2 linked regions of the Oryctolagus cuniculus genome follow. Each later gene encodes a partner of the first gene's protein in a complex. Links are inferred from orthologs where the notes say so. Each region holds a gene or a part of one and is shown in the gene's direction. Other genes may lie near its edges.

Region 1 (7,258 bases):
TTTTATTTTTTTAACAATTCCAAACACTGCTCCAACAAAGTCTTGAACTTCATGGGAGAAGTAGAAGTGTATCGGGGCAGCAGTGGTTAAGAGGCCACTTACGTTTGCCTATACCCCATGTCAGAATCCCTGGGTTTCAGTCCCAGCTCTGTTCTCCATTCCAGCTTCCTGGGCAGACAGCAGGCAATGGCTCAGGTTCCCTGCCATCCACACTGGAGACCCGGATTGAATCCCCTGCTCCTGGCTTCCACTTGGCCCAGCCCTGGCTCACTCATGCTCTCTCAAACTAAATAAATTTAGATAGGGGGAAAAAATAATACAACTCCAAGAAGGTCAAGTACATACATTAATAACCAAAAAGCATCGCAAGTTCCCCTAAGCCTAGAGTTTGGTCACATGTACCTACAGTGGTTCTGTGTGCGCATGTCCCAGCTCACGGGTGTGTCTCTGCGTCTCCCCTTACAGGGCCCAGGCGTGCAGCAGCTCCCCCAGCAGTGAGGAGACGGCGTCCTCCGCTGTGAAGGCCTCCATCTTCACCCCGCCTGTCCTACTCAAGTTCCAGCCCGTGTCCAGATCCAAAGACGACTCAGAGCAGGACCCTGGCAATGCAGAGCCCGCGCCCCACAAGCAGAACCCGTGACCTCTCCCCGCCACAGCACAGTGATCACGGTGGAGGCCTGAATAAACTTCCTGTGGAGATGCCTTGCTGGTGCTGGGCTCCCCTGAGGGTCATGCAATCGCACTGGCTCCCTGAAGCCCCCAAGAGGCAGGCAGGGTGGTGCAAGCCTCAGTCTCAGTGCACTCACTTGCTCTGTAACCTGGTAACTGAGGCATCTGTGTGTGTGTGTGTTTAAAGATTTGTGTATTTATTTGAAAGGCAGAGTTAGAGAGAAAGAGATTGATTTCTTCCAGATGGCCGCAATAGCCAGCGGCCATGGTGCCAGACCAAAGTTAGGAGCCAGGAACTGCACCCGGATCTGCTGTCAATCAAAGTGATCTGGCCTGTTGGGTTCCAACGCAGCAGTTCCCTAAGGAATTTCAAAGGTCTGTGACTCTTACTGTCATGTCAACTCACACACTGATTTTTTTTTTTATTTGACAGAGTTATAGAATAGACGGTGAGAGAGACAGAGAGAAAGGTCTTCTTTCCACTGGTTCACTCCCCAAATGGCCACTACGGCTGGCGCTGCGCTGATCCGAAGCCAGGAGCCAAGTGCTTCTCCTGGTCTCCCATGCGGGAGCAGGGCCCAAGCACTTGGGCCATCCTCCACTGCCTTCCCAGGCCACAGCAGAGAGCTGGACTGGAAGAGGAGCAACCGGGACAGAACCCGGGGCCCATATGGGATGCCGGCCGCCGCAGGTGGAGGATTAACCAAGTGAGCCACGGCGCCGGCCCCACACAGTGAATCCCCCTGTATGACAGCTGGGCGTCCTTCCTAAACAGGGATGACTACTAGGCGTTAGTAGCTGATTGCCGAGCCCTGGTGTTTGCTCTCCTCTGTGCTTGAGACTAGAGATAACAAACCAAGTCGTGGAGATAGATCCCTGCTTTCATTTTTTGAAATTATTTTTTTCTTTATGAGAGAGAGAAAGAGAGAGAACCCATCTGCTGGTTCACTACCCAGATGCCAGGACTGGAGCGGGAGCCAGGAGCTGGGCACACGACCCAGGCCTCCCACGTGGGTGGCGGAAAGAGAGCCCTGTGAGGTAGGCAGCCTGGGAAGCAGCTAGGAGGCCAAGAGGAGCCGAGAGACTACCAGCAGCACTGCAAAGCCCCGCCCCCTTCCATGCGGACCCGGCTCGCCCACTCCCCATCAGGCCCCTCAGCCTCACCTGCCATGGCGCACTGGATGCGGTGATGACCGCCAGTATGCTGTAGCCACAGGTGGAAATGCCACAAAACAAACAGACAGGGTGGGATACAGAAGCAAGCGGTATTCAAGGCCCTCCCAAAAATCTGCCCCATTTAAATATTCAACAAGGGGGCCGGTGTTGTGCCATTGCTGGGTAAGCCACCTCGGCAGCGCCGACATCTCATATGGCCACCAGTTCAAGTCCCGACTGCTCAACTTCCCACCCGGCTCCCTGCTGATGTGTCTGGGAAAGCAGCAGATGACCCATGTGCTTGGGCCCCTGCACCCATGTGGGAGACCCAGAAGAAGCTCCTGGTTCTTAGATTCGGTCTGGTCCAGCTCTGGCCATTGTGGCCATTTGGGGAGTGAACCAGAGAATGGAAGATATTTCTCTCTGTGTAACTCTGCCTTTCAAGTAAAATAAATTTTAAAAATGTTCAATTAGGGCCGGCACTGCGGCTCACTAGGCTAATCCTCCGCCTTGTGGCGCCGGCACACCGGGTTCTAGTCCCAGTCAGGGCGCCGGATTCTGTCCCGGTTGCTCCTCTTCCAGGCCAGCTCTCTGCTGTGGCCAGGGAGTGCAGTGGAGGATGGCCCAGGTGCTTGGGCCCTGCACCCCATGGGAGACCAGGATAAGTACCTGGCTCCTGCCATCGGATCAGTGTGGTGCGCCGGCCGCAGCGCGCTGGTCGTGGTGGCCATTGGAGGGTGAACCAGCGGCAAAAGGAAGACTTTTCTTTCTGTCTCTCTCACTGTACACTCTGCCTGTCAAAAAAAAAAAATGCTTAATTAGGGCATCATCCCATATCCTGAAAGGGGCGACCCCAGCTTTGCGGGGGCAGTACCCTTCCTTCTCATGAAGAGAGGTTGCCTCTTCGCCATCTGAGTACCTAAATCCTGCTTTCCCGTACGCCCTTAGGGTGTTCCTCCAATTACTTCACCGAGTGGAGACAAGAACTTGGAGCAGGTGCAGCCAGGAGTGTCCAGCATATTGCAAAATGGCAGTGGGGGGCCCTCCTGCCCAGACGTGTAGGTACCATACATCTTTCACGCCTCGCATCTTCCGTAATGACTGCGAACCCCTCCCATGGGCAGAGGATTCGGTATGAGAATGAAGCTCAGGTAAGGTCATGGAGATCTGACTCAAACTATGGGATTCCTCTTAGGCTGAGGGTCTGGCCCCTCCCAGGGCAGTGCTGGAACATTCTTTGAAAAGCAAGCTCAGCAGTTGAGATTGGTCTGCCCCTCCTCCCGGTTCTGCCTCAATCCTAGGCCTTCAGTTACAAAATTTGGGTGACCCGGTGGCTGGCAGTCCGTTCAGGAGACAGGAGAGTAAGGAGGCAGCGGGACAAGAATTCTGCTTTCTCAGCAGGCGTGTTAAATCCGAGATCAGTGGTTTGAGAGTCCACAGCGCCGGCACCTCAGCTTGGCGAGTCCCGAGACGCAAGTGCTGCTGGCCAGGGTCACCCGGGGCCCCAGCGTTGGACCCAAAGTGGCTCAAGAAGAGACAGAAGGGACCAAGCGACGGTCCATGGCCACCTGTCGCTGGGCTGCCGAGGGGCGTGGAGGCTGTCGGACACAATGCACTCTGGGAATGGGATACGAGCGAGCAGGCAGCTAAATGGGGCGGTGCGAGGAGAGAACAGCTCCGCCAAGAAAGAGGGGGCTCAAGCTAGCGCGGCCTCCCTCAGTCCAGGGTCTCAGGTACCACACCGCGCCCAGACCCCGTTGGAGCATGCGCACTCGGCGGCAGGGAAACCCGACAGTTCCCGGCATGCCAAGCGCCCGCTTCCGGCGTGGGCCCGCGGATCCCGGAAGTAGCTGCCCGACTACTCGGCGGCGTCTGTGGGCTCGCGGTTGCTGGCCGTGACTTTTCCGCGCTCGAAGACCCCACCGCCGCGCTCGCCGCCATGGGGAAACGCCAGCACCAGAAAGACAAGATGTACGTGGAACCGCGTCGGGGGAGCGGCTCGCCGCTGCGCGCCCGGCCCCGCGCTTGGCCGGGGCTTCGCGTCGCTCCTCTTCCCTCGCAGAGTCGAGTCCCCAGGACTCCTCCCGGAAGCCCCCTGCCCACTCCCCAGGCCGGGCAGTGACACCGCTGCCCCCAGCCCCTGCGGTAGCCCGGGGATCCGGCAGCCGCGTCTCGGGCCCCCCGGGGTTGGAAGCGAGCGAGCCCCGGCCGCCGTCGCGTTTCTTCGCCTTTTCCGAGTGACGAGCCCCGGTCTGCTGCTGTCTCTCGAGTCCGCTGGGGCCAGGCTTTCACAGCCCCTGTCCCCCGCCTTGAGTCCTTGTTGCCGAGCTTGGGGTCATCCAGTCATTTCTCAAGCCCGTGGCGTTGACCTCTGCGATCTCGCGTGCGTGGTTTTCCCGCAAACTTCAGCGGCCTCCCCTTTTCTCGGGTTCGTCGGCCGGGCCCCCTCCTCCCGTTTCTCCCAGGCCTCACAGGTTACTGTCTGTGGCGGGGGTCTTGAAGCAGTCTGTTCAGCCCGGCATCTCCGCTTCGGCGGTCTGATACAGACCGCATTTTAATCTGATCATCGGAAATAGAACCCAGCCCTGGAGTTTGCCTCTCTCCTTCCTGTCTCAGTGATAGGCTGAGAATTAAAAAAAATTTTTTTTTAAAGATATTTGTATTGATGTGAAATGCGGAATGACACAGGGAGAGAAAGAAAGATCTACCATGCACTGGTCCAGTCCCCCAAGTGCCCCACAGCCAGGGCTGGGCCAGGAACTCCATGCAGGTCTCCCACGTGGGTAGTAGGGACCCCAAGTGACTTGAGCCATCCTCTGCCGCCCCCCAGGTGCCTTGGCAGGGAGCTGGTCAGAAGCAGAGGGGCGGGGTCTGATTCCAGGCGCTCTGGTACGGTATGCGGGTGGCAGCCTCACTCACCGCACCACAGCGCCCACCACAGACAGGGTTTTCCGACCTTACCGTGGTGTGAAAGCAATGTGTGCTGGGGGCCAGTGCTGTGGCGTAGTGGGTAAAGCTGCCACCTGCAGTGCCGGCATCCCAGATGGGCACTGGTTCGAGTCCTGGCTGCTCCTCTTCTCATCCAGCTCTCTGTTGTGGCCTGGGAAAGCAGTAGAAGATGGCCCAAGTCCTTGGGCCCCTGCACCCACGTGGGAGACCCGGAGGAAGTGGTCAATTCCTGGTGGATTTTCTGCTGCTGCTCTGGCTGTCTTCCTACGCACAGCAGCCAGGGCGAGGCTTTGCGGCTGATGTCAGATCCTGCCTAGCAGGGCCCTGGCTCCGAACCCTCCGTGGTCTCCCACCCACTGAGGAAGACCTGCGAGGCCCCTCCCCATCCGTCTTCCTCCGCTGCCACCCGCCGGTGCCCGCAGCTCCCCAGCGACATCTGTCTGTTCTTCCTGCCTTGGGCATCGGTACCCGCTGTGGCTGCGGGCCCCGCCCGTGTGTCTGCCTGGAGGGCTCTTCCCCCAGGTCTGCCCGTGCCGGCCGCTCTCATGTGTCAGGTCTTCCTGGGTGAATCACCTCCTTTCCTTCTGAGCAGCGCAGGGCCGTCTGTGTTTATTTATTTATGGGTTTGTGCAGCCCCGTGTCTGCCGTGTTCACCCCTGGCTGGCCAGTGGCAGCGTAGTGATATCTCTCCCTCCCTCTCCCCGTCCCCTCCCCCTCCCCCTCTCAGGTACATCACCTGTGCTGAATACACTCACTTCTATGGTGGCAAGAAGCCAGGTAAGGCATGGGAGTCTTCTCTGCCCCGAGGACAGGGGTGTACAGAGGATGGGTGGCCCCATTATACAGGCAGCCCGTGGTCTGTGCAGGACAGCTGGGCCGAGGACTCCATTCACGGAAGAGGAAAGATGCCCCACCCACTGGCGATTTTTTTAAAAATATGGCTTAAAATAACCAAAGTGCTCCAGGCTGTGGTGAAAAGAACCCTGGTCTACATTTTTTCTTTTTCTTTTTCTTTTTTTTTTTATTTCAAAGTCAGAGTTACCAGAGAGAGAAGGAGAGGCAAAGAGAGAGGCAGAGAGAGAGAGAGAGAGGTCTTCCATCTGCTGGTTCACTCCCCAATTGGCCGCAACAGCTGGAGCTGGACTGATCTGAAGCCAGGAGCCAGGAGCTTCCTCCAGGTCTCCCACGTGGGTGCAAGGGCCCAAGGGTTTGGGCCATCTTCTACTGCTTTCCTAGGCCATAGCAGAGAGCTGGATCAAAAGAGCAGCCAGGACTTGAACTGGCACCCATAAGGGATGCCGGCACTGGAGGCGGCAGCTTTACCCCCTACACTACAGTGCTGGCCCTCTTTTTTTTTTTTAAGATCTAGTTATTGGCCGGCGCCGCGGCTCACTAGGCTAATCCTCCACCTGCAGCGCCAGCACACCAGGTTCTAGTCCCAGTCGGGGCTCCGGATTCTGTCCCGGTTGCTCCTCTTCCAGTCCAGCTCTCTGCTGTGGCCCAAGTGCTTGGGCCCTGCACCTGCATGGGAGACCAGGAGAAGCACCTGGCTCCTGGCTTCGGATCAGCGCCGTGCGCCAGCCGCAGCACACTGGCTGCAGAGGCCACTGTGGGGTGAACCAATGGAAAAGGAAGACCTTTCTCTCTGTCTCTCTCTCTCACCGTCCACTCTGCCTGTCAAAAAGAAAAAAAAAAAAAAGATTTAATTATTTATTTGAGAGTCAGAGTTACAGACAGAGGGAGAGACAGACAGATCTTCCATCCACTGACCCACTCCCCAAATGGCCACAATGGCTGATCCGAAGCCAGGAGCTTCATCTGGGTCTCTGACACTGGTGCAGGGGCCCATGCACTTGGGTCATCTTCTGGTGCTTTCGCAGGCCACAGCAGAGAGCTGGATCAGAAGTAGAGCAGCCAGGACCGGTGCTGTGGCGCAATGGGTTAACACCCTGGCCTGAAGTGCTGGCATCCCATACAGGCGCCGGTTCAAGACCTGGCTGCTCCTCTTCCAGTCCAGCTCTCTGCCATGGCCTGGGAAAACAGTAGAAGATGGCCCAGATCCTTGGGCCCCTGCACCCACATGGGAGACCCAGAAGACGCTCCTGGCTCCTGGCTTTGGATTGGCACAGAAGACCTCTCTCTCTGCCTCTCCTCTCCCTGTGTAATTCTGACTTTCAAATAAATAAATAAATCTTTAAAAAAAAAAAAAAATGGAGCAGCCAGGACTTGAACTGGCGCCCACATGGGATGCTGGCACTGTAGGCAGCGGCTTAACCTACCACGCCATAGCTCCGGCCCCTGTTGTAATTTTCACGCTCTCTCCAGCTCCTCCTCTGTCCACGCCCTCCCTGTGTTTGGTGCCCACGGCAGTGGCGGTGCTAAGTACTTGAGCACTCCTTTTCCCATAAGACAGCGGTGCTTGTGGGCAGGTACACGGAGTGGAGCTATTTGACACAGCCGGTGTTCCCCTTTTGTTCCCCACAAA
Region 2 (7,258 bases), on another chromosome or scaffold:
TTGCCTGGCCCTGTGCAGAGAGCAGGAGGGGAGCCCCTGGCTGGGGTCCCGGGAGTGAGGGGCTCCCCAAGAGTCTTAGAGTCTCAGCAGGACCTGACTCGGGGCCCCCCACCCTCAGTGGGGAAGAAGACTCTGGGGTGGAGAAGCCGGACACTGTCCAGGGGAGGGGAAGTCTTGCTGGGCAGCTTGAGGACCACTGTGAAGACAGGGCTGCTTCTCCAACAGACTCCCGCCCCCTCCGCCCCTCCGCCCCTCCGCCCCTGCTGTGTCAGAGGGGTGAACCCCAGGCTGAGCAGCTGGCTGGGCCAGCTGCCTGGCCACCCCTGCTCCCTGCACTGTGCCCTGGAGGGCAGAGCCCTCCCCGCCACAAACACGTTGCTGGCGCCCTTCCCTGAGGTCGCCACCCCCCTGAGCGCCGGCTGCCGTCAGCCCAGGCTTGTCCCAGCAGGGAGCCGGGGGAATGGGAAAACACAGTGTGTTTGAATTGCACACACGACCATTCCCTGCAGCCAGTCATCAACTCCGAGCTAATACAGCTGGAAGGCAGGCCTGGCGTGAGAGCCCCCTCCTCTTTCTCCCAACCTGGCAGGGGCTGCCCGGGCTCAGGCCCTTGTTTGTTGACTCAGGCTCAACCAGGCTCCAGCAAGAAAATGTTATCAGGAGGATTGATTTTATTTTCATGACCCAGCCTCAGCCTGCCTCCATCACGTGTGCTCTAGCGTGAATAAGCATCCTTGGGAATGGTCCGCGAGCCAACTCCAGGACTCTGCCATGAGTGCCCCCTAATGGCCAAAGGAGGCAGTGCAGAGGCAAAGCCAAAGACGGCTGGGATAGAGGTGGGATTTCACTTTTGTGCCAAGATACGCTGTGTGACTTCAGGCAAACGGTCACCATCTCTGGGCCTTGGAAAGGGAAGGAGTTAACCTGGAGAGTTAAGCCTCTTCCAGTCTGGAGAGTCTGGATTTGAGTGTATTGAAGCCACACCTTCGGGCTCCCCGTTCATTCCTGTGCTTGGCCACAGGCATAGCTTGTGCTCTCAACAAGACCGCTTGGACACATCTCCCCAGGGTCTCTGCACCTGGACTGGTGGGAAGGGAGCGAGCAGGGGCGGCAGGCAGGTGCATTTGGTGCTGGTGTGCACCAGGCTTTGATGAGGTGTGCAGCCCTGTGCCACTTCCACAAAACAGGGGAGTGAGCACTCAGCACAGAAAGCGAGACGCTCGCCTGCCCCCAGGAAGGATTGGCAATAACCCCCAGGCAGAACCCCTCCCACACACACTTACGAAGCACCACCGTGCGCCAGGCACTGGGCAGAGAGGGGCAGCAAGTTCTGCACAAAACCAAGGATTGGGAGTTCTCCAAGCAGGCCCTGAGGCCTTAGGAAGGGATAAGACCAGACACTGGGGGAGGCTGGGTTGCCCATCGGGCACCAAAACCTGCGGGTGTTTTCCTGGGAAAGCAGTTCCTGGCCAGAGAAGGGAGGAGCTCACCTCCGTGTGCCCTCAAGCCCCAGGCTCCTGGTCCCCAGGCCTTCGCTGCTCTGTCCAGCAACAGGCGGGAAGTCCCCTGGCTAAGACACACTTTCCCAGGCCATCCAGGATCCCCACAGAGTCAAAGGACAAAGGGCAGCTATGGTACCCAAGCACCAAGGCCAAGGTCAGAATGGCGCTGTGGCACAACTGGTTAAATCCACGGCCTATAGTGTCGGCATCCCATGTGGGTGCCGGTTCGTGTCCCAGCTCCTCCACTTCCAACCCAGCTCCCTGCTAATGTGCCTGGGAAAGCAGAGGAAGATGGCCCAAGTCCCTAGGCCCCTGCACCCACACGGGAGACCCAGAAGAAACTCCTGGCTCCTGGCTTCGGATCGGCACAGCTCCGGCCGTTGCGGCCATCTGGGGAGTGAACCAGCAGATGGAAGACCTCTCTCTCTCTCTGTCTCTACCTCTCTCTCTAACTCTGTCTTTCAAATAAATAAAATAAACCTTTAAAGAAGAAGAAGGTGTGCATAGGGCAGGGCTGCAGCCTGCGTCCACCGCAGCTGTACTTGGCCCAGGGATGCAGCCACATTCCTTGGCCCCAGGAGCTCACAGCTCCAAGCACCATGGGGATGTGGCAAGGCCTCCTTTCCTGGTGCTGTTCTCTCCTGAGAAGCTCCGAGGAGTCAGACCAAAGGGCTTCAGGATCCCGGGCCCAACAACGCAGAAAGCTGCAGCGGTCCACAGGGGCGAGCTGAGGCTCCTTCCAGGGCCCTCCGGTGCTGCCCGGGACAACCCAGCTGTCAGAGGCTTAGGGCAGGACCCCAGTCCTCGGGACTTCGGGTCAGAGGTGGAGGGCCCCAATGGGGTCAGAGCGGAGTCGGCCGGACTTGAAATCCTGAAGGGTCGCAGGGAGCCGACGCTGAGGCTCCAGGGGGACGTCTAGGGGAGAAGGCTGGGCTGCGACCGCCAGCGGGTGTGGGGAGTGTGCGTCTGCCTCGACAGCCCCCTATGTGGGCACCCCCAGATTCTGCGGCACTCCTGGGTCGCCCCGGCTCCTCGCCGCATACCCGACCGCGCACCTGTCTGCCGCGCGCGTCCCCGCGGGCCCGGAGCTCATTGCGCACGCGAGCCGAAGAGCTCCGTGACGGCCCCGCCCCTTCTCGCCTCGCCCCGCCCCGTCTCTCCCCGCCCCGCCCCTTCCGCCCTCCGGGGGCGGGACTAGCGCGGCTTCCGGCCGGGACTCTGACAGGATCCTGAGGGTCCCGCCTCCCACTTGCCGTTTCGAGCTGCGGATTCTCGCAGGACCTGAGCCCCCCGGCCGCTGCGGTGAGGGTCTCACGCGGCTGTCCAGGCTGCCTTCTGCCCTTGTCCCACCGGGCCCAGGAGCGCTCGGCCGCCCCGCCATGGCCCAGAAGCCCAAGGTGGACCCCCACGTCGGGCGGCTGGGATACCTGCAGGCGCTCGTCACGGAATTCCAGGAGACCGCGAGCAAAGGTGAGAGCCGCGGGTGGGCGCCGCCGCGAGCCGAGGGGAGAGCCGAGGGGAGGGCGCGGGTGGGCGCCGCGAGCCGAGGGGAGAGCCGCGGGTGGGCGCCGAGGGGAGAGCCGCGGGTGGGCGCCGCCGCGAGCCGAGGGGAGAGCCGAGGGGAGGCCGCGGGTGGGCGCCGCCGCGAGCCGAGGGGAGAGCTGAGGGGAGGGCCGCGAGCCGAGGGGAGGGCCGCGGGTGGGCGCCGAGGGGAGAGCCGAGGGGAGGCCGCGGGTGGGCGCCGAGAGCCGAGGGGAGGGCCGCGGGTGGGCGCCGAGAGCCGAGGGGAGGCCGCGGGTGGGCCGGCGCGAGCCGAGGGGAGGGTCGCGGGTGGGCGCCGGCGCGGGGGCCGAGGGGAGGGCCGCGGGTGGGCGCCGCGAGCCGAGGGGAGGCCGCGGGTGGGCCGGCGCGGGGCCGCCGCCCGGGACCGGCTCCAGGGTCGCTTTCCCGTTGCAGACGCCAAGGAGCAGGTCCTCGCCAACCTGGCCAACTTCGCCTATGACCCCAGCAACTTCCAGTACCTGCGGCAGCTTCAGGTCCCGGATTTGTTCCTGGACTCGCTGTCGGAGGAGAACGAGACCCTGGTGGAGTTCGCTATGGGTAAGGGGGGCCGGACCCGACACCTGCGGGGCTGCCGCGCGATGGGAGGGTTGCAAGGGAGTCGTCGGCAAAGCGGCCTTTAGGGGCCCCCCTTGTCGCCCCACAGGCCATCAGGTCACAGCTAATGTGCGGGAGTGCGGGGGTCCCACCCAGGCCCCACCCTCTGCCTAGAGATGGGATCGCAGACAGGGAATGGGAGGGAGCAGCTTGGAGGTGGATCTTTAATGCGACGATAATGTAGACTTTAAAGTCTTTGTCGTTTACTGAAAGGCAGAGAGAGAGAGATTGAGAGATTGCACCCACTGGTTCGCTCTGCAAATGGCCACAACTTCTCCCAGGTCTAGGCCAGGCCAGGCCAGGGCCAGGATCCGGGACCTTCATCCCTCAGGTCCCCACAGGGGCAACAAGGGCCCAGCACTGCCTTCCCGGCTGGATCAGAAGCAGAGCAGCTGGGACTTGAGGCAGGACTCCCGCCAGTTGGCCCACTGCGCCCTCATCCCTGTCCTCGTGCAGAAATGTTTGAAGTCCATACATAGGTTTTTTTGTGAGACTTTTTCATGAACTTGTAATTAATTAATTAATTTGAGAGGCAGAGAGACAGACAGAGCTTCCATCTGCTGTTTTACTCCTCAAATGACAGAAATAGTCAGGGCTGGTCCAGGCCAAAGCTGGGGGCCAGGAATTCTATCCAGGTCCCCCCCCATGAGTGTCACGGATCCGACTACTTGAACCCCTCATACAGTGCCTGCCCAGTGAATACAAGGATATTTCAGCAAGTTAATGGGAAGTGGAGTTAAAATATAAGGGTGTTTTTGGTGCAATTAAAAAAATTAAATTTTTTTCATAATGCACATATTCTATGAATTTTTAAAAATATTTCCCCCCACTCTACTGTACTCTTCTCTTCCTTCCTTCTTTCCTTTTTTTCTTTTCTTTTTTTTTAAGATTTATTTTATTTATTTGAAAGAGTTAGAGAGGTCTTCCATCCGCTGGCTCACTCCCCAAATGACCGCAGCAGCCAGAGCTGAGCTGATCCAAAGCCAGGAGTTTCTTCCAGGTCTCCCACATGGGTGCAGGGGCCCAAGGACCTGGGCCATCTTCTATTGCTTTCCCAGGCCACAGCAAGGAGTTGGATCAGAAGTGAAGCAGCCAGGACTTGAACTGGCGCCCATATGGGGTGCTGGAGCTGCAGGCCAGGGCTTTAACCTGCTGCACCACAGCGCCAGCCCCTTTTTTAAAAAAAAAAAAAATTTACTTATTTGGGGGACCAGTGCTGTGGCACAGTGGGTTAAAGCCCTGGCCTGAAGCGCCAGCATCCCATATGGGTGTTGATTCTAGTCCTGGCTGTTCCACTTCCAATCCAGCTCTCTGCTATGGCCTGGGAAAGCAGTAGAAAACGGCCCCCCTGCACCCACGTGGGAAACCCAGAAGAAGCTCCTGGCTTCAGATCGGTGCAGCTCCAGCCATTGCGGCCATCTGGGGAGTGAACCAGCAGACGGAAGACCTCTCTCTCTGTCTCTACCTCTCTGTGTAACTCTGTCTTTCAAATAAATAAAATAAATCTTAAAAAATAAGTTTATTTATTTGAGGCCAGCACTGTGGTGTAGTATGCTAAGTCTCTGCCTGCAGCGTCAGCATCTCTTACGGGCACCGGTTTGAGTCCTGGCTGCTCCTCTTCTGACCCAGCTCCCTGCTAATGCTCCTGGAAAGAAAGCAGCAGAGGAGCGCCCAAGTGCTTGGGCCCCTGCACCCATGTGGGAGACCCAGAAGAAGTTCCTGGCTCCTGGCTCCTGATTGGCCCAATTCCAGCTATTGCGGCCATTTGGGGAGTGAACCAGCAGATGGAAGATATCGCTCTCTCTCTCTCTCTCTCTCTGTAACTCTGCCCTTCAAATAAATAAATAAATAATCTTAAAAAATATTTATTTATTTATTTGAATGGCAGAGTTATATAGAGAGGGAACAAAAGAGACAGAAAACAAGCTAGATATTCCATTGGCTGATTCACTCCTCGGATGCTGCGATAGCTGGAGCTGGGCTGATCTGAAGGCCAGGAATTTCTTCTGGGTCTCTCACATGGATGCAGGGGCCCAAGCACTTGGGCCGTCCCCTGCTGTTTTTCCAGGAGCATTAGCAGGGAGCTGGGTCAGAAGTGGAGCCGCTGGGATATGAACCTACGCCATTGTGCTGGGCCTTACAAAAATTCATATATTTATATATTTTTCATAATATACATATTCCATACATTTTTTGAGGATCCCCCTCACTTTTTAAAAGATATTTATTTATTTGAAAGGCAGAGTTGGCCGGCGCCGCGGCTCACTAGGCTAATCCTCCGCCTAGCGGCGCCGGCACACCGGGTTCTAGTCCCGGTTGGGGCGCCGGATTCTGTCCCGGTTGCCCCTCTTCCAGGCCAGCCCTCTGCTGTGGCCAGGGAGTGCAGTGGAGGATGGCCCAGGTGCTTGGGCCCTGCACCCCATGGGAGACCAGGAAAAGCACCTGGCTCCTGGCTCCTGCCATCGGATCAGCGCGGTGCGCCGGCCGCTGCGCGCCAGCCGCGGCGGCCATTGGAGGGTGAATCAACGGCAAAAGGAAGACCTTTCTCTCTGTCTCTCTCTCTCTCTCACTGTCCACTCTGCCTGTCAAAAAATAAAAAAAATAAAATAAAATAAAATAAAAAAAATGAAAGGCAGAGTTACAGAGAGAGAGGGAGAGATACAGAGATCTTCCATCCATTGGTTCACTCCCCAAATGGCCACAACAGCCGGGGCTGGGCCAGGCCGAAGCCGGGAACCAGGAGCTTCATCAGAGTCTCCCACATGGGGACAGGGGCCCAGGAACTTGGGTCATCTTCAGCTGTTTCCCTAGGCACATTAGCAGGGAGCGTGATCAGAAATGGAGCAGTAGGGACTTGAACGCACACCCATGTGGGATGCCGACATGGCAGGGTGCTGCTACACCACAACACCGGCTCCGCCCCCTCACTCTTTAAGCCAGGTTCTGTTCTGAATGTTGGGGAGATGTTGAGCAACGGGTTCTGCCTACAGGAGCTTACATTCTAGAAGGGGAGACGTGGGGAGCACATTAAAATGATGCTGCTCGGGGGGAAGTCAACAGGAGGGGGACAACTTCCGTGTTGGCCATGATGGGCAGGCACACTCGGCAGAGGTGCAGAAGCCGTGAAGGAGCAGAGGGAAAGCAGGCGCGGCAGGACGGCGGGGAGAGACCTGGAAAATGGCGCCAAACGAGGCTGCTGGCAGCGGAGCTGGCCAGGGCTTACATCTGACCGTGGGGATGAGTTTGGCATTTATTATGAGAGCAAACACAAATTATTTTTTCAGCATGCAGTTTTTAAGATTTATTTATTTGAAAGTCAGAGTTACACAGGGAGAGAGGAGAGGCAGAGAGAGAGAGGTCTTCCATCCACTGGTTCACTCCCCAGATGGCCACAATGGCTGGAGCTGTGCCGATCTGAAGCCAGGAGCCAGGAGCTGCTTCTGGGTCTCCCACGTGGGTGTAGAGGCCCAAGGCCTTGGGCCATCTTCTACTGCTTTCCCAGACCATAGTGGAGAGCTGGATCAGAAGTGGAGCAGCCAGGACTTGAACCGGTACCCATTTGGTATGCTGGCACTTCAGGCAGTGGCGTTACCAGCTAT

Evidence for each region.
Region 2: PPIL2 (region 1) and ARMC7 share a complex: the UniProt entries of both Homo sapiens proteins name them as parts of the minor spliceosome. The link is inferred for Oryctolagus cuniculus from reciprocal best matches to the Homo sapiens genes PPIL2 and ARMC7.

What each region holds. Positions count from the first base shown.
Region 1 is NC_091452.1:29,125,933-29,133,190, reverse strand, and holds the start of PPIL2 (RING-type E3 ubiquitin-protein ligase PPIL2), read left to right. Parts: upstream 1-3,577; 5' UTR 3,578-3,763; coding exon 3,764-3,795; intron 3,796-5,500; coding exon 5,501-5,550; intron 5,551-7,258. Other genes in the region: uncharacterized protein, read left to right, coding at 466-640. UniProt on the Homo sapiens protein: Has a ubiquitin-protein ligase activity acting as an E3 ubiquitin protein ligase or as an ubiquitin-ubiquitin ligase promoting elongation of ubiquitin chains on substrates.
Region 2 is NC_091448.1:5,403,158-5,410,415, reverse strand, and holds the start of ARMC7 (armadillo repeat-containing protein 7), read left to right. Parts: upstream 1-2,685; 5' UTR 2,686-2,881; coding exon 2,882-2,972; intron 2,973-3,458; coding exon 3,459-3,602; intron 3,603-4,966; coding exon of another isoform or gene 4,967-4,995; exon of another isoform or gene 4,996-6,283; intron 6,284-7,258. UniProt on the Homo sapiens protein: As a component of the minor spliceosome, involved in the splicing of U12-type introns in pre-mRNAs.